2 linked regions of the Drosophila melanogaster genome follow. The protein of the gene in region 2 interacts with the protein of the main gene of each other region in a pairwise test. Each region holds a gene or a part of one and is shown on either strand. Other genes may lie near its edges.

Region 1 (7,187 bases), 1.8 Mb from region 2:
TCCATTCCTATCAATCCGTCAAAATAAGAGTGGAACTTGAAAGGTAGAAGGGTCATTTTGCCCGTGATTTGGAATTCCGGTGGAAATGGTATAGAGACGTTTTGATATATTTTAAAACTGTTCAGGGCTGTTTTGAGTGTTATGGGCGTATCTAAGGTCACACAGTTCCTAGGGTCGACATATTTTGGGTCGATGAAGGAGTGTGTAGAGCCTGTGTCAATTAAAAACTTCAGGGGGTTTGTCTGGGATAGTTTGATTTTTATAAAAGGAAGCGAGGGGTTGTGCGTGGCTGGGCTTATGTACCCTGTTGGTTTCCCGAGGCCGTTTGCTGAAAATTCGAATCAGGTTGAGGGTTCTCCTCTATATTATTCAAACTATGTGAAGGTGCTCGAAAGGGGTTTGATGTATTGGCCCGGTTGTCCTTGGTGCCGGATTGGGGTGTGCGATTGTGTGAATTAAATGGTCTATTTTGGCCAGAGTTAGAGTTAGAGTTAGAGTTAGAGTAGGGTCCCCTACGGTCATTTCGGTCGTTACGTCCGCTGCGGTAATTGCTGTCGTAGCTATTTCGGTAGGTTTTATTGTCTGATCCATTGGGTCCCTGCTCTGGTCTGTTGGTTCGCTTGTTTTGTGCCCTATATAAGGTCTGCTCTATTTGGCATTGCTCGTACGCCTGTTCAAGTGTAGAAGGGGACTTTATCCTGACGAAAGTCTTGAGAGGTTCCTTCAAACCAGTCATAAAAGCATTGAGACAAACCTCGTTGTAGACAACCTTTTTTGCATCTACAACAGTGTTGTTGTGTTCGCTGTTTTTGAGTATGGAGAAGAGTTGGCTTCTCACCTTTGATATACCAAAGAACAGTTGGCCCAAGGTCAGGTTGTCCGAAAATGTGTTAAGCTCGCTTAACAAGTTGGCCTCGCTTTTCTTGCTCGAGTAGAGGCGGATGAGATTGCTTTTAATCTCATCCCAAACCAAGGGGGTATTTGCCAGTTCCAAGGCTTCGTCGGCCCTATCAATGATTTTGTTCCTGATGGTCCTCAGAGTAAGCAGGCCATACGGTGTTTGGTCAGCTCCCCTGATGAGCATCAGGATTTCTTCTACGCTAGTGATAAACCTGTCCAATAGACGAGGTGTACCATCAAAGGTTGGCAAATGCTCAACAAATGCCATGATATCTTTAGGCTTGAACGTAGTTGAAATTAAGGAGCTAATACCACTGACAGTGGGCGCCAGAGGGGATGGAGTGGGGCGGGCAGAATCGTTTCCCGAGTCCATATTGGGGGTTTGGGAAGATATTGATTTGGGTTCTTCCGAAATCGGGAGAAGGGAGTCAGGACGTCTAACGGGATGTGGGGGCCTATTAGTGTTTGGTGGAACTCCAACAACTGAACGTGTAGTTTTCCTAAGGTTGTAAACGAACTTTTTTGACATTAAATTTGAGGTTACTTAGTATATTATGTATGATTGAAAAATAATGAACAAATTTCTTGTTTACTAGAGTGTATGGGTGTCTGTCTTTGGCTTTATATTTTCCCTTTTATATTCTGCAATGTGATTGGTATTAGTATTTGTTTGATATACAAAATTACACAATGAAAGGAAACAAAATATATCTGTATATGTCGACTTCTTTAGTACATTTGTTTTGGTTATTTTGAATGTGCAATACATGAGCGTAGCAACCCATTGTAGAAGAGTGAAAGGCAAGAACACTTGACGATACTCAAGCGTTTTCCCCTTACCTCGGCTACCCAGACATGGGTGCGCCACTACACATGCAGTGTCGTTGTCGTTGTGGTACGCAGAATGAGCCTCGCTTGGTTTGAAATGATTTTTGCTTATGTTTTGATTTTTCGCCGACGTATGGCAGTGTGCGTTTTGAGTGTACAATGTATTAGAGAGGCTTTGGTGCTTTGTTTGTTTACCACGGTGGCATGGTGATCAGCGTTTGATTCCATGCCAACGAGGCGGTACAGTACGTGGATGTATTGGATTGTAGTTGATATTGTATGCTCACATATATAAGTGTATATAGAGGCTTTGGCGATGCGTTGGCCAGCGTATGTAAGTGCCGATGACGTGATGATCAGCGATAGATTCCACGTCAGCGCGGCAGTACGGTACACTTGCACTCTTTTTTTTTTATAAAAACTTATGACGTTTGGCAGAGTATGGACATACCGATGGCGTGGTGATCAGCGATAGATTCCACGTCAGCGCAGCAGTACGGTACACTTGCACTTTTTTTATAAAAATTATGACGTTTGGCAGAGTATGGACATACCGATGGCGTGATGATCAGCGATAGATTCCACGTCAGCGCGGCAGTACGGTACACTTGCACTTTTTTATAAAAATTATGACGTTTGGCAGAGTATGGACATACCGATGGCGTGATGATCAGCGATAGATTCCACGTCAGCGCGGCAGTACGGTACACTTGCACTTTTTTATAAAAATTATGACGTTCGGCAGAGTATGGACATACCGATGGCGTGATGATCAGCGATAGATTCCACGTCAGTGCGGCAGTACGGTACACTTGCACTTTTTTAAAAAAATTATGACGTTCGGCAGAGTATGGACATACCGATGGCGTGATGATCAGCGATAGATTCCACGTCAGCGCGGCAGTACGGTACACTTGCACTTTTTTTTTGTATATTTATTTATTTTACATTTTTCCTCTCTCTTTTTTTTTCCTGTGTTTGAATATATGTTTGAGTTTCATTTGGTACTTCACAACTTCAATTTTGTTTTATAAAAATTTGTTCCTAGTCACTTTCAGTCGACATCTTGCATATAGTTTGTTTCGTTTCTTACATGTTTACTTACAGGTAGGTAATTATTAATAGGTAGGACATCCTACCGGCTGCGCCAGTTAAGTCCGTGATCGAGGGTGGAGCCTTTTGTGAAGATATGATGTGTAAATGTATGAAGGTTTTTAAGTTTCAGCAGATAGTTGTAGTGTGAAGATTTCCAATAAAGAATACGACTGACTTTCTTGAAGTTCAAAATCAGTATGAAGTTTATTGTCAGAGAGTGGCTACTCGAGTCCTCCGTTTTCGTCTTATACATAAGTACATAGGTTCTTAATTGTAAGCATAATGAACATGCCGACTCGGCATGTGGCTGGCTAGCTGGGGACAATGTTGCAGTGCGACTTTTGTGTAATGTCAGCATTCGGCCGGAATGTCAGCATTCGGCCGGATGCGGTGTTCCAGTTGCCGTCTTCCCGGTTGAGTGTCCGATGATTTGTTTAGAGGCGTGGGGGTTTAGGGGGTGGGGTGGTAACTCGCGCTCTCTTTTCTCCACATTTGGGGCCAAAGCTGACGATCCGCATATCAGCTCTACATATATATTTTGTTGTCTTTTATTTATTTTTTCTTTTTGCCTTCGCCCGTGTTGTTGCTTGTTTATATTTATATATCGGATGGGGCTAATATTTTTTCCAATTTTTTACTGCTTTGTTTGTTGCTGTAATGCGGAACGCGCGCGCTCGAGCAAAAATGATAAATCTACGATTATGGGCGTCATGGGGTGTCATGAATGGAGCGGCCCCCCCGAAACACGCGCAAGAGTTACCTATCAGAGATATAGATATGCTCGGTACCTGTTTAATGTCCACGACTGCCTAAAGCAATTTCCGGTTGGAAATACGCCCAGAATAAATGGGTTCAATAGTGCCAATGAACCGAAGATAATAATAATACCCAGAACTTAAGCTCATTTCGTTGCACTGTTTCTCACTGACTTGAAGTAATCGTAGTTAGGCAAATACAAAGTCTTCAGAGTGAGTAAAAAAAATAAATAAACAAACAGCTGTCGATTGTGGATCACAGCTTGAGCTTGATTCACTTTAGCTGAGCCATCGCTTCTTTTAGTACGCCGTAAAAACCAGCTGCAAAAGTGGCCCAGAAAAATCTCCCTACTTTTCTCTTCTTTCAAATCGCAGACAAAGCTCTATGATTACTTTGTGCTTATTTCAAGAATATTTCACACGATTTGACCGAACTCTTAATGGCTGATGTAAAACCAAAACATATTTACGTAAAGGAAGGAAGTACTTTTTTATCTTAGTTCTTGGAATTCGACAGCACAGAAACAAATAAAGGGCTAACACATCAACATGTTAAAGTTTTGTTTTCTTTAAGTTACACTTTGTTTCCCTTGCGAAAATTGAGTGCGTCTGGCAATATATGTAAACATTGAAAGTCCCTGAAGCCCAAAACATTATTCGAACTTTATGCTTTATATTTCCCGCGAGTATTTGAGGTATATAATAAAACAGTCGCAGAGAGCATTTATTTTTTTTTTAATTTTAATAGTAAGCCGTATTTAAATCTGGTTAACATAAGTTTGTTTCGTAATTTGTAAATTACTTTAAGTACGAGCTTTAAAGGTCACAGTTAGTGAGCTTAAGAAATCAATATTGCGCATACGCCATGTGGCCCGCCGAAATGCAGATGCAAGCGCAGCACAAGGAAGCCCAAATGCCAAAGGACACGCCATGAGTCATGTGATAAGGCCCACGGATCCTGACCTAAATTCGTCCTTCAGAAGGTGAGGCACGAAGCTTGAAAAAATCTCGCCTATACGGGGAAAGGAAATTCAGGGGGGATGCAAAAAAAAAAATACAGAGAACAGGAGGACAACCTCTCTAGTTGGCAGGAGAGCTTTCAGCATCGGAAGTCGGCTGTCAAGTGCAATTTTGTGTTTTTTTTTTTTTTTTTGGCTTTGTATTATTATTTAGCACCGCACGTGTGGCACACAAATGCTGATGCTAATGCCGGGAGATTTATGGCAAACCTTTTCGCGAGACCTGCCGACTTACCCAGACGCTGCGGGAATGATGTTGATGTCGTGTTTCTTCCGCTCTAGATACCCTTAATTTAATGCACCCTCATTGGGAATAATGAACATTATCTTTTCTTCTTATTTTCTGTATTTTTTCGTATTTGTTTTCACACGCTTTTAATCTATTCTAGGTAAGGGAACGTGTGTGTGCAAATTCGCAGACGCCAATGGCAACACGCGCGCCAAACAAAACTTTCGCTTTCGTTGCGCGTGTGGCCGTCACACCACTACACACAGCTACACTCACTCACACGCACACACACACACACACACACAGTGGCACACACGCGCGCTGGCAAACAACAAACACGGATATGCGAATACTCGAGTGCGACTGCAAAATACGTAAACGCTCGTGTTCAGCGCGAAATACAAAGCTCTCGTAGCTTTTCCAGTTTTTTGACCAAACTGCGAGACGAACACCTCGACCGCCCAAAGCAGAATGAACGCGGTCCGACGAACGAGCGTCGTTTTAATAGTAGCTCAGCGGGCACTCACTGCGCACCCCACAAAAGTGGCCAAATGTGTTAGGAAATTATTAAAAAAAAAAAAAAAGAAAAATAAATTTATTTTTGGTTAGATCATATTTTTAATCAAACATATTAAATTCTTAAAACCATATTTAACATTAAATTAGTTCTAAGTTCTAAATTTAGCAAATTTAGCCGATAAGCAACGAAATAATAAGTTGACTTTACTCGCAGAGTAATCAACAAATTACTATAGCTGGCCTTATCTACAGAAAACGGTTCAAATCATTTATTTGCACACACTCATGCTCGAGCATCCACCAAAATAAAATTATTTATAGCATCAGTGAAAAACTGTTGACACACATTCGCATTCAAAAGTCGCCAACGCATCTCAATCAATCGAAAAATGTTGCCGCAACATTGTTGCCAGCAACACGCCCCGAAAATGGGGAATCCCAGGGGAGAGCTGCTTTGCGTTTGGTTCGGGTTTGTTTTGGTCGTGCCTTTCTGGTTGCCTAAATCCGGACCCTCGGGCCAGGCCATCACCTCCCACTTCCACCCCCCTCCCCGTCGCAATAGAAGGCAATTTTGTCGCACGTGTCGGAAATTTTGTTACGGCCGATTGCTTTTGCTTCCTCTCCCTCTGCGCGATGGCTGTGAGTTTCAATGAGTTGTGTTTGCGCTGACGGGTTGCTATATATATATACACAGAGTACGGGGGAGATTCTTAAACCATAAAAAATAGATATAAATAATATAAGAAGTGTTGTTTAAAATAATAAAAGATTCATTTATTTTTGTACAATTTTAAAACCCTAAATGAAAGCTCTGTACTAACGTTCGACATTGCGAGGTCTTGCTGTACAATATGCATATATTTTTTCTGCTCGAAGACCCACTGTCTTGACAGATACATTTTCCGAGCGACCTTTCGCGCTGTTTTCGTAATGAAAAGGCAATTCAATGGCCTTTGGCTGTTGCCGGCGCAGCCGCCTGCGACACTAACGGTAAACGGGGAACGATGGCTGACTTCCGGTTTGGCTTTAATCGTCTGCTGCTGTCGTAAATGGCAGCAAAATCCGAGCAGCGAACAATAAAAGAGAAATTAGCATAACACATGAGACAACGACAACGACGCTCGTTGGAGGCCCCCTTGCGGAACCGCTTCCCCCCGATTTTGCCATGTTCTTTATGTGTGATTTTAATGGGCTCGTGGGTGTCTGGGCCATGGTCGCTTTTCTATTTCAATTGCCGACACGTGTACGCCGCGTAAAACAAAAGGAACACGACCATAAAAGCATCACGCACATGTCTGGCCATTTGCATTTTTTCCGCCCTTAAATTTCTGCACCCAAAGTGCCATTTAATTGCCATGAAGTGTAGGGGCGTGGCCACTCTTTTGCGTCAATGCAAAAGTTCCATAAACGTGGTCGTTATTATGTGGGCTGTCCATCCTATCAAGACGCCCGTTAAATAAAAGTGCGTAATCAAATCTAACGAGTATAGCCCGAACAACACGAATAATTCAACTGATTAGAAATAGACGAAAATAAACTGTACCGAAATAGCCTAAACACAACCATCTTGCCGTTGACATATTTATTGTTTTATTTTTAATTGATAATGGCATTTTAAGTGACAAATTTTATTATCTGTCCTTTAGTATTAAAATAATTGTGCCTAATTACTCCAAAAATAGCTATGTCGTGATAAAAATAAACCACAATATTGCTGGCTAAACACTTCAAAAACCGCAGATTGTATTTCAATTCTGCGGTTAATGATCGTGCGGCGAACACATTTGTTTGTCAACACTTTTACGTTCAGTGTATGCTATTGGATTGCCAAAAATAAAACAT
Region 2 (8,013 bases):
AACAAGTAGTTAATAATCGTTTAATTCTTATGTAGATAATAAAGTTGCCTATTTTGCTATTTTCCTATTTCAAACAAATATTGCATATTATGAATGAAATTTAAAAATAAGGCGCATTACGCATGTGCATGTGCATTAAAAAAGTTATTATACAAATAGAATAAACACATTAAATTAAATAAGATTCCTGTTGTCATTACTAGCAAGCAGTGTTGGAAAACACCGTGCTGCCCTCACTAATTTCTACACCCGTCTCGTGTATTTTTGTGCCTGATTTACTGACTGAAAATGCACCTGCTGCGGAGCCTGCGCCAGCTGAATGGCCTCCAAGGAGTGCGCCAAGCTATCCGGCAGGTGTCCTCGGCGCCCACCAAGCCCGCCGCCCTGCAGTACGAGCGCGATCCGCAGCCGCTTTTCACGGATGCCGAAACCCAGCGGCTGCTCCAGTCCATGACGCAACTGAACTTGGACAAGGTGTATCGGAAGCGCACGGTGCCGGACAACAGCAGCGAAACGAAGTTCATGAGCAACGAGCAGCTGGACAACGAGTTCCAGAACTTGGTGGTGCGGGCTCAGCAAATTCTGCAAATGCCACCCATTGTGCAGATCAAAAAAGATGTGGAGCGGGTGATAGCCAAGGATACGGCGCTGAAGGACTTCGCCAACTCCAAGTTCGTATTCACGGACATCACCTTCGGCCGACGGCAGTCGGAACGCAAGGTAATCGTCCGGGATATGGACGGAACCTTGGCCTACGCCACTCTTGATACCACGAAGCGCATGAACCAGTTGTATTTCCCGCTGGAGGGTCGCCAGTCATATACTCCACGAATGTTCGCGCTGGAGGAGCTGCTGGCCAAGTGCTTGGCGGAGCACAAGTACGAGTTCATCCTGGATCGACTCTTGGTGCAGTACGAGCCACATGAGCCGGAGTTCCACAACATTTCAGCGCGTGTGTTCGAGCATCTCAACGAGTCCAAGGAGTTCGATCTTCTGCGCTCCACCCGCCACTTTGGACCCATGGCCTTCTTCTACGCTTGGCACCGCTGCATCGACGACCTGCTGTATGACATGATCCGTCGGGATTATCTGCACAATGCCGTGGAGCTGATTGCTCTGAGCTACAAGCTACACAACATCCCAGTGGAGTATCAGGCAACGCTGACCGAACTGGGCAAACTGCATGCCACGCCGGCGGAAAGTGCCCTGGCGGAGCTAAGAAGCGTCTTCCGACGACATGACAATAAGCAGAACATTGAGCAGGAGATCCATACGGCCATTGGCAAGACGGAGCACGATTTCGCCGCCGATGAGATCAGCCTGAAGTTCATTGAGCAGTACATCGCCAGCGAACATGCGCTGAAGAAGGTGCAACTGGAGCTGGCGGTGCAGACGCTTAAGGAAGTTAACCGGGAGAAACTGATGCTGTTCCAGGGACTGAAAAAGGCTCACGGCGTCCAGGCTTCGTAGGATCTATTCGCTTTATTGTTATCGATTTCTATGTACTAATAAATACCAGCTAGGTCAAGATTTCTATACGCTGTTCATAGCTCCTTCTTGAGGACCCTGGACAGCCGTCTAAAATGGCCAAGGATGCACTGTCTCCGGTGCCGCAGGCATACCCGCTCGCTGCTGAAACGCTTCAAGCAAACTGAGCAACGTCTGGGATCACCTCTTCCATTGGGCAACCCGTTGTGTTCGCGAAATAGGACGACCACTTTCGCCTTGGCACAACTCTGTTCTTTTTTTCGGTGTACCAAAAGAGAGGTGGTGGTCTTGAAGTAACGTTTGCACTGAAGACATCTGTAGCACTTCCTGCCGCTATGGTTTCTCAGGTGCCTGAGCAACTGCATCTCTGAGTGGCTCATGGCGTTGCAGAGTAGATGTGGGCATTTAAAGAGCATCGATGACTTCCTGGGCGCTAGAGCGGGACAGCTCAGACTGTGTTGCTTCAATTGTTTCTGGTGGTCCAGACGCTGACCACAGCGAAAGCACAGAGCACCAGGTCCATAGTGCGCGGTCATGTGGCTCTGGTGCTCCAGCAAGGTTTTGGCCACATCGCCGCACACCGCGCACTCCATCATGCCGTTGGGAAATATGAATGTGTTCTCGCTCACGTAGGTGAGAAATTTGTCGGAATTGGAGGCCTCAGAACCGGTATCCTTTGGCCGTTCCTCTGGTAAATACCACTCCTCCGAATCGCGACGGCATTGAATGCCCGCATCCTTAGTGCCCGCATTCTCTGTTTGAATGGCGCGCTCTCTGCGCGGCACCATAGCCTCGTTCGCAAACATTCCAGTGACCTCGTTGAGTCTCTTCTGCTGTACGGATTTCTTGGGAGACTCTGTAGCGCCTCCATTGGTGATCGGGGCATGCAGTTCTTTCACTGGAATGCCATTCTCTATCGCGTACTTGCGTGTCACCCACTTGGTCTCCACGCACACGTATTCCGGCAGCTCGAAGACGGGCAAAGGGATAGACTTCATCTGAACAGGGCTGTGGCGTGGTGGTTTTCCGGCGGATATCGGTTGACCGGCCAACGCCACCTTTGCCGGTTGCGCCGGGTACATTTCGTTGGTTCGGGGTTCTCAAATGGCACTAAATCGATACGTATCCGAAAAATGAATTCACATTTTACTTGGAACTTATTTTATTTTTGTTATTAATTACGCTTGCTTTTTATAAAAAGACGCGAATTTTACTGGCGCAAAAAATTCAATGTTGCTATTGGTGCTGGCGGGCTAGCTTTTTTCCCGCCATATCCGACTTCTTTTGACTATTATGACAGTTGGAATATTAAAAAATTAAAATAAAATATAAATCTAACAGTTCTTTTTTCATGGCAATCAATACGAAGTGCTGAATAACTGCATGTTCTCTGATTATACTGTGTTTATAAACTAAAATTTCTACCAAATTTGTTTAGCAACAAGTTCTCTTAACAGTGCCATTTTAAATAATTAGGGGTATTCTTATGAGAAGTATGACATTTTCTAATGAATTCAAAATTGTATTAAGCAAACATAAATTTGTTATATATTTTATATTTCATTCAATGCCTATTATAATAGTTTAATTAAACTGATTGTAAATCTGGTGGAAAAATCAAATAAAAATTGTAGTTATTTTTCGTTTGTTTTGATGTATTAAATCAATCATTATTATATTGTACAATTATTCGGGCAGAAACTGCCCTAAGCACTACTTTTTACTCTTATCCTTGTCCTTGATGGTGTACTTGTCGTAGGACTTGGTGGGATCGTAGGGCTCCCATCGGCTGGCTGGGAAGATGTGCTTGTTGCGCTCGTACCAGGAGCGGAGGAGTACCTTTCCGGCATGGGACTCCTCCTTCTCCACGGAGGCGTCGCTTATCATGCGCACATCGTCGTGGACGTCGAACTGGAAGAGCGGGCCGGATTTGCCGCGTGCCTTGGTCACGATAAAGTCGTAGAAGGAATAGTGGTGCGGCAGGATCAGATCCTCCTTGACGTACATCAGCTGGTCGGCCATTACGGTCTTCAGTTCGATGAACTCCTTGCGCAGCAGCTCCAGGCACTTCTGCAGAAACTGGTAGATGGAGTTGCCCTTCTTCATCAGCACGTTCCGCCGATGGCCGGAGCCATCCCAGTAGCTGAACGTGATGGAGATGTCCTCGTCCTTCAGCTCCGCCTGCTGCATTACCCATTCTTGACGCAGCTGCTCGCGCAGTCTGTTCTCCTGCTCCTCGCGCTCGCGATCTGGCAGAAAGGAAGTGTCCACGTCAGGATTCTTGCATATCTTCTTCTTCTTTATGGGCAAAATGTCTTCCTTGATCTCCGTCCACTTGGGCTTGGGCTGATCCTCCTGCTTAATCTTCAGCTGTTTCTTATCGTGATCCTCGTCGTCCTCCTCCTCCTCCTCCTCGTCGTCGTCCAGGTTGAAGGACAGCGCCTGGATCTGCCGCTTCTGCTTGTTCTTCTCCGCCTGAATGGCCTCCAGGGCGCGCTGCTTCTCCCGATCCTTTTCGTCCTTCTTCTGGGCGAGCTTCTTCTCCCGTTCCCGCACTATATCCTCCTGCTTGGCCTTCATCTCGTCGAGGGTGACCAGACCAATGGTCGAGGACTTGAGCTGCTGCTCCACGGCATCGTAGTGGGTGGCAAACTTGTTCTCAATCTTGTCCAGCTTGAGCTCCTCCTCGATCTTCTTCTTGCGAAACTCGATCTCCTGCTGCTGGATCTCCCGCTTCTTCATCAGCTGGGCTGCACGGCCCGCCTCGCTGGCGGCACCTTTGTAGTGGGCCATCCTTAGTTGTTTCTGTATTTATTTATATTTTTTTTTATTTAATTCGTAAACGAAATTTGTAAACATCCAATTGGTGTGACCGTAGCAGAAACATTGAAAAATGCCATTCTTCGTATAAAAAATTTACAGCACAAAACACTACCTTACCAATTTGAAATAATAAAATATTTAATCTTGAAATTATTTAAAATTTACTAGCTGTCCATTCCCCTGATATAAGAGCAAAAAGAAGAGGATCACTATTTCTCTGCAACGATTTTGAAAAATAAAGATAAATCTTAGATTTTTAGCTGTTTTTTTTAATATCCTTTATATTTAGTTACAGTCGTAAGTTTTTCTTTAACTTGCTTCATGCTTTCGCTCAGTGTACTAAATCTACGTTGATCCATTGGAAGATTCCTCCTGTGCCTCGGATTTGTCCTCCTCCTTGCTGTCACCATCGGCATCTGTTCCATCATCGCCAGGTTGGCTTGGATCTGGATTGCTGGAGCTACTGCCGTTGCTCTCGGCCAAATCGTTCTGGTCGAAACCATTCGTGTATTCCGGCGTTGGAGCCGTGTCATTGGCGCTGGGCGGCGGGGTAATCTTCCGCAGCTGCTGACGGGCGGCATGGACGATCTTTTCCAGCTCGACGCACTCCGTCTCGATCTCGTAGTTCTTGGAGACCAGCAGCACCCAATGGGCTTCCAGGGAGCGCAGTCGCTCGCCGGCCTGCGTTTGCGCCTGCTTGCGCTGCCAGTTGACATCTTGAATGTCCTTCTTCAGCTGCTGCAGCTGGAGCTGCGCCTTCGCCTGCATGGCGGTGAAGACCTCCAGGTAGGACTTCCATGCCTCCGTGCCGTAGTCGAGCATTAGCTCCAGGTTGAGAGAGCGCACCCACTGGTGCTCCAGCTGGGCCATCGAGTTCTCAATGGCCTCCTGCCAGGCGGACACCTCCGACAATTTGCCCGATGGCGGCGGTGGCAGTTCGTAGCGCTTCATGGAGAGCGTCTCCATGGGCAGGCGGTTCTGGATGCGCTCGAACTCGTTGGCCATCAGCGGAGTCTCAAAGGGCGAGCTGGCGGGCAGTGGCAGATGGTCAAGGTAATTTTTTGTGGGCCTATAGCGCCGGCATTCCTCCTCCACCATGGCGAGAGCCTTTGGAAGAAGAAGATGCCATTTCAAAGTCAGTTTCAACGTGCAACATGGATATCCGTATATTTACCGATTCCCGGACGCCCACATCGTCATAGCCGTGATCTATGTAGGGCAGAGCATCCACAATAACTTCGCCAGCCATTATTTATTATTAATTTCTGTGTTTTGAGACTGTTTTTTCCGCAAGTAAACAAATACAATTGCCGCTTCGCACTAGTGTGGCACATTTAGCTACTTTATAGCTATATAAACGGATAACAGAATGCTGTTAATTAATAGCCATATATCTATTTAGTAAATTTTTTTGTTTTAACATGAACATTTAAGCAAAAAATAAGCGTTGTTTTCTCACCAATAAAAGTTGTGTAAGTTAGTTTTTAACGTATGTATGTATTATGTATTGTTTGATTATTTATTATGCGGTTAAATTACAACAATTGTATTCTTGTTCTTTAAAAACGCATTGCTAATTTATAAATTTAACTAAAATACGTTATTGATAAATTCGAATTTAGATTTGTAATATTATAGTTTAATTGCGAGAATATAAACAAAAACTTCTCTTACGAGAGAAAAAAAAAGCTAAAAGTGTTGGACAGCGTCCAATTAGCCCTGTAAGCTTGACACTTGCTGCTGTTAGCAAATGCAACCATGCGCCGTGGAACGCGATTGGCAGCCATTTCCGGCAGCTCTCTTTCTTTCTTCGTTCTTCTTAATAAAAAGAGGACGGTATCTGCGTTTGCAGAATATTTAGCACCTTTCATTGGGTTTGAAAATCAACGAAAATGGTGAGAAACGAAGCACAAGGCACTCCGCAACCGCAGCAGACCCCAAAACATTGGATTTAACACACGAAACGATGCGAAAATAGTGCAAAAGTGTCGCCCTAACCTCCACGTGTTTGGAATGTGCGGCGATGGCGAAATGCGCTTGTTGTGTTTTGTGATGTGAAATGATCAGTGAACTAAACCCGAATACCATGTGCACTTTCAGAGCTTAGGCAACGCCAGGCCATTGGTCTCCGTGTACACGGAAAAGAACGAGCCAGCCAAGGACAAGAACATATGCCTGCCGGCAGTGTTCAAGGCGCCCATTCGTCCGGATGTGGTCAACGAGGTTCACCAGCTGCTCCGCCGCAACAACCGACAGGCCTACGCCGTCAGCGAGCTGGCTGGTGAGTAAACTGTTTATAACTCCTCTTTTGTGTGAATCTAACCCGTTTGAATTCCTGTTTGCAGGTCACCAGACCTCCGCCGAGTCCTGGGGTACCGGACGTGCTGTGGCCCGTATTCCCCGTGTGCGTGGTGGCGGTACCCACCGTTCCGGCCAGGGAGCCTTCGGCAACATGTGCCGTGGTGGACGCATGTTCGCCCCCACCAAGACGTTCCGTCGCTGGCACCGCAAGGTGAATGTCAACCAGCGTCGCTACGCCCTGGTGTCGGCCATCGCCGCCTCAGGAGTGCCAGCTCTGGTCCAGTCCAAGGGACATGTCATCGACGGCGTCTCCGAGTTCCCGCTGGTCGTGTCCGATGAGGTGCAAAAGGTCCAGAAGACCAAGCAGGCTGTCATCTTCCTGCGTCGCCTGAAGATCTGGGCTGACATCCAGAAGGTGGGTAACTTTGTACACCTATGAAGAACTTAATCCGAAGAATGTTAGGTCACTTAACTGTGCGTCTATTCAACTTCAACGTATTTATTTAACAAAACGTGAAGTTGTGATGTTTTAATTGCAAAGTTATAACTTTTTATTGGATTCCTACTTTTCGGATGCTTTCTAAATCTTACTTGGCAGCGTGCAAGCAACTGGCTACTCTTCTGGTTGTCCGATGCTTGCAGGGATCTCCTGCGTTGCCAGATAAAATGCTCTTCTTGGCGTTACGATTGAAACTTGATTCACGGCTTCCATCGTGGTAACGGAAGAGCAACAGCTGTTGTATTCATGTTCTCTATTTCCGAATTCCTGGAATATACATACTCACTATCAACTTGTTTCTCATTCATTTCGCAGGTGTACAAGTCGCAGCGCTTCCGTGCTGGCCGTGGTACCATGCGCGACCGTCGCCGCATCGCTCGCCGTGGTCCCCTGGTGGTCTACGACAAGGACGAGGGTCTGCGCAAGGCCTTCCGCAACATCCCCGGCATTGAGACCATCAACGTGGACAAGCTCAATCTGCTGAAGCTGGCCCCCGGCGGTCATGTCGGTCGCTTTGTCATCTGGACCGAGTCGGCTTTCGCCCGCCTGAACGATCTGTTCGGCACCTGGAAGAAGCCGTCCACCTTGAAGAAGGGCTACAACCTGCCCCAGCCCAAGATGGCCAACACCGATCTGTCGCGTCTGCTCAAGTCTGAGGAGATCCGCAAGGTGTTGCGCGATCCCCGCAAGCGTGTGTTCCGCAGCGTGCGCCGCCTGAACCCCCTGACCAACGTGCGCCAGCTGATCAAGCTTAACCCCTATGCCGAGGTCCTCAAGCGTCGTGCCGCCCTCGCCGCCGAGAAGCGCACCGTGGCCAAGGTGCTGGCCAAGGCCAAGAAGCAGAACGTCGAGCTGGCCAAGTCGCACTTCGCCAATGTGGCCACCAAGGCTGCGGCCAATCG

Evidence for each region.
Region 1: the proteins of BCAS2 (region 2) and Cipc interact in a two-hybrid assay, tested with the Drosophila melanogaster proteins (one large-scale study listed by BioGRID).

Annotation. Positions count from the first base shown.
Region 1 is NT_033777.3:26,104,988-26,112,174, reverse strand, and holds the start of Cipc (clock interacting protein circadian), read right to left. Parts: upstream 5,308-7,187; 5' UTR 4,833-5,307; intron 4,591-4,832; 5' UTR 3,298-4,590; intron 1-3,297.
Region 2 is NT_033777.3:27,916,714-27,924,726, forward strand, and holds BCAS2 (BCAS2), read right to left. Parts: upstream 5,644-8,013; 5' UTR 5,561-5,643; coding exon 5,486-5,560; intron 5,419-5,485; coding exon 4,657-5,418; 3' UTR 4,570-4,656; downstream 1-4,569. Other genes in the region: mRpS22 (mitochondrial ribosomal protein S22), read left to right, coding at 289-1,470; Boh1 (buddy of Hmr 1), read right to left, coding at 1,545-2,570; CG12259 (uncharacterized protein), read right to left, coding at 3,202-4,281; RpL4 (ribosomal protein L4), read left to right, coding at 6,204-6,206, 6,412-6,592, 6,657-7,027, 7,427-8,013.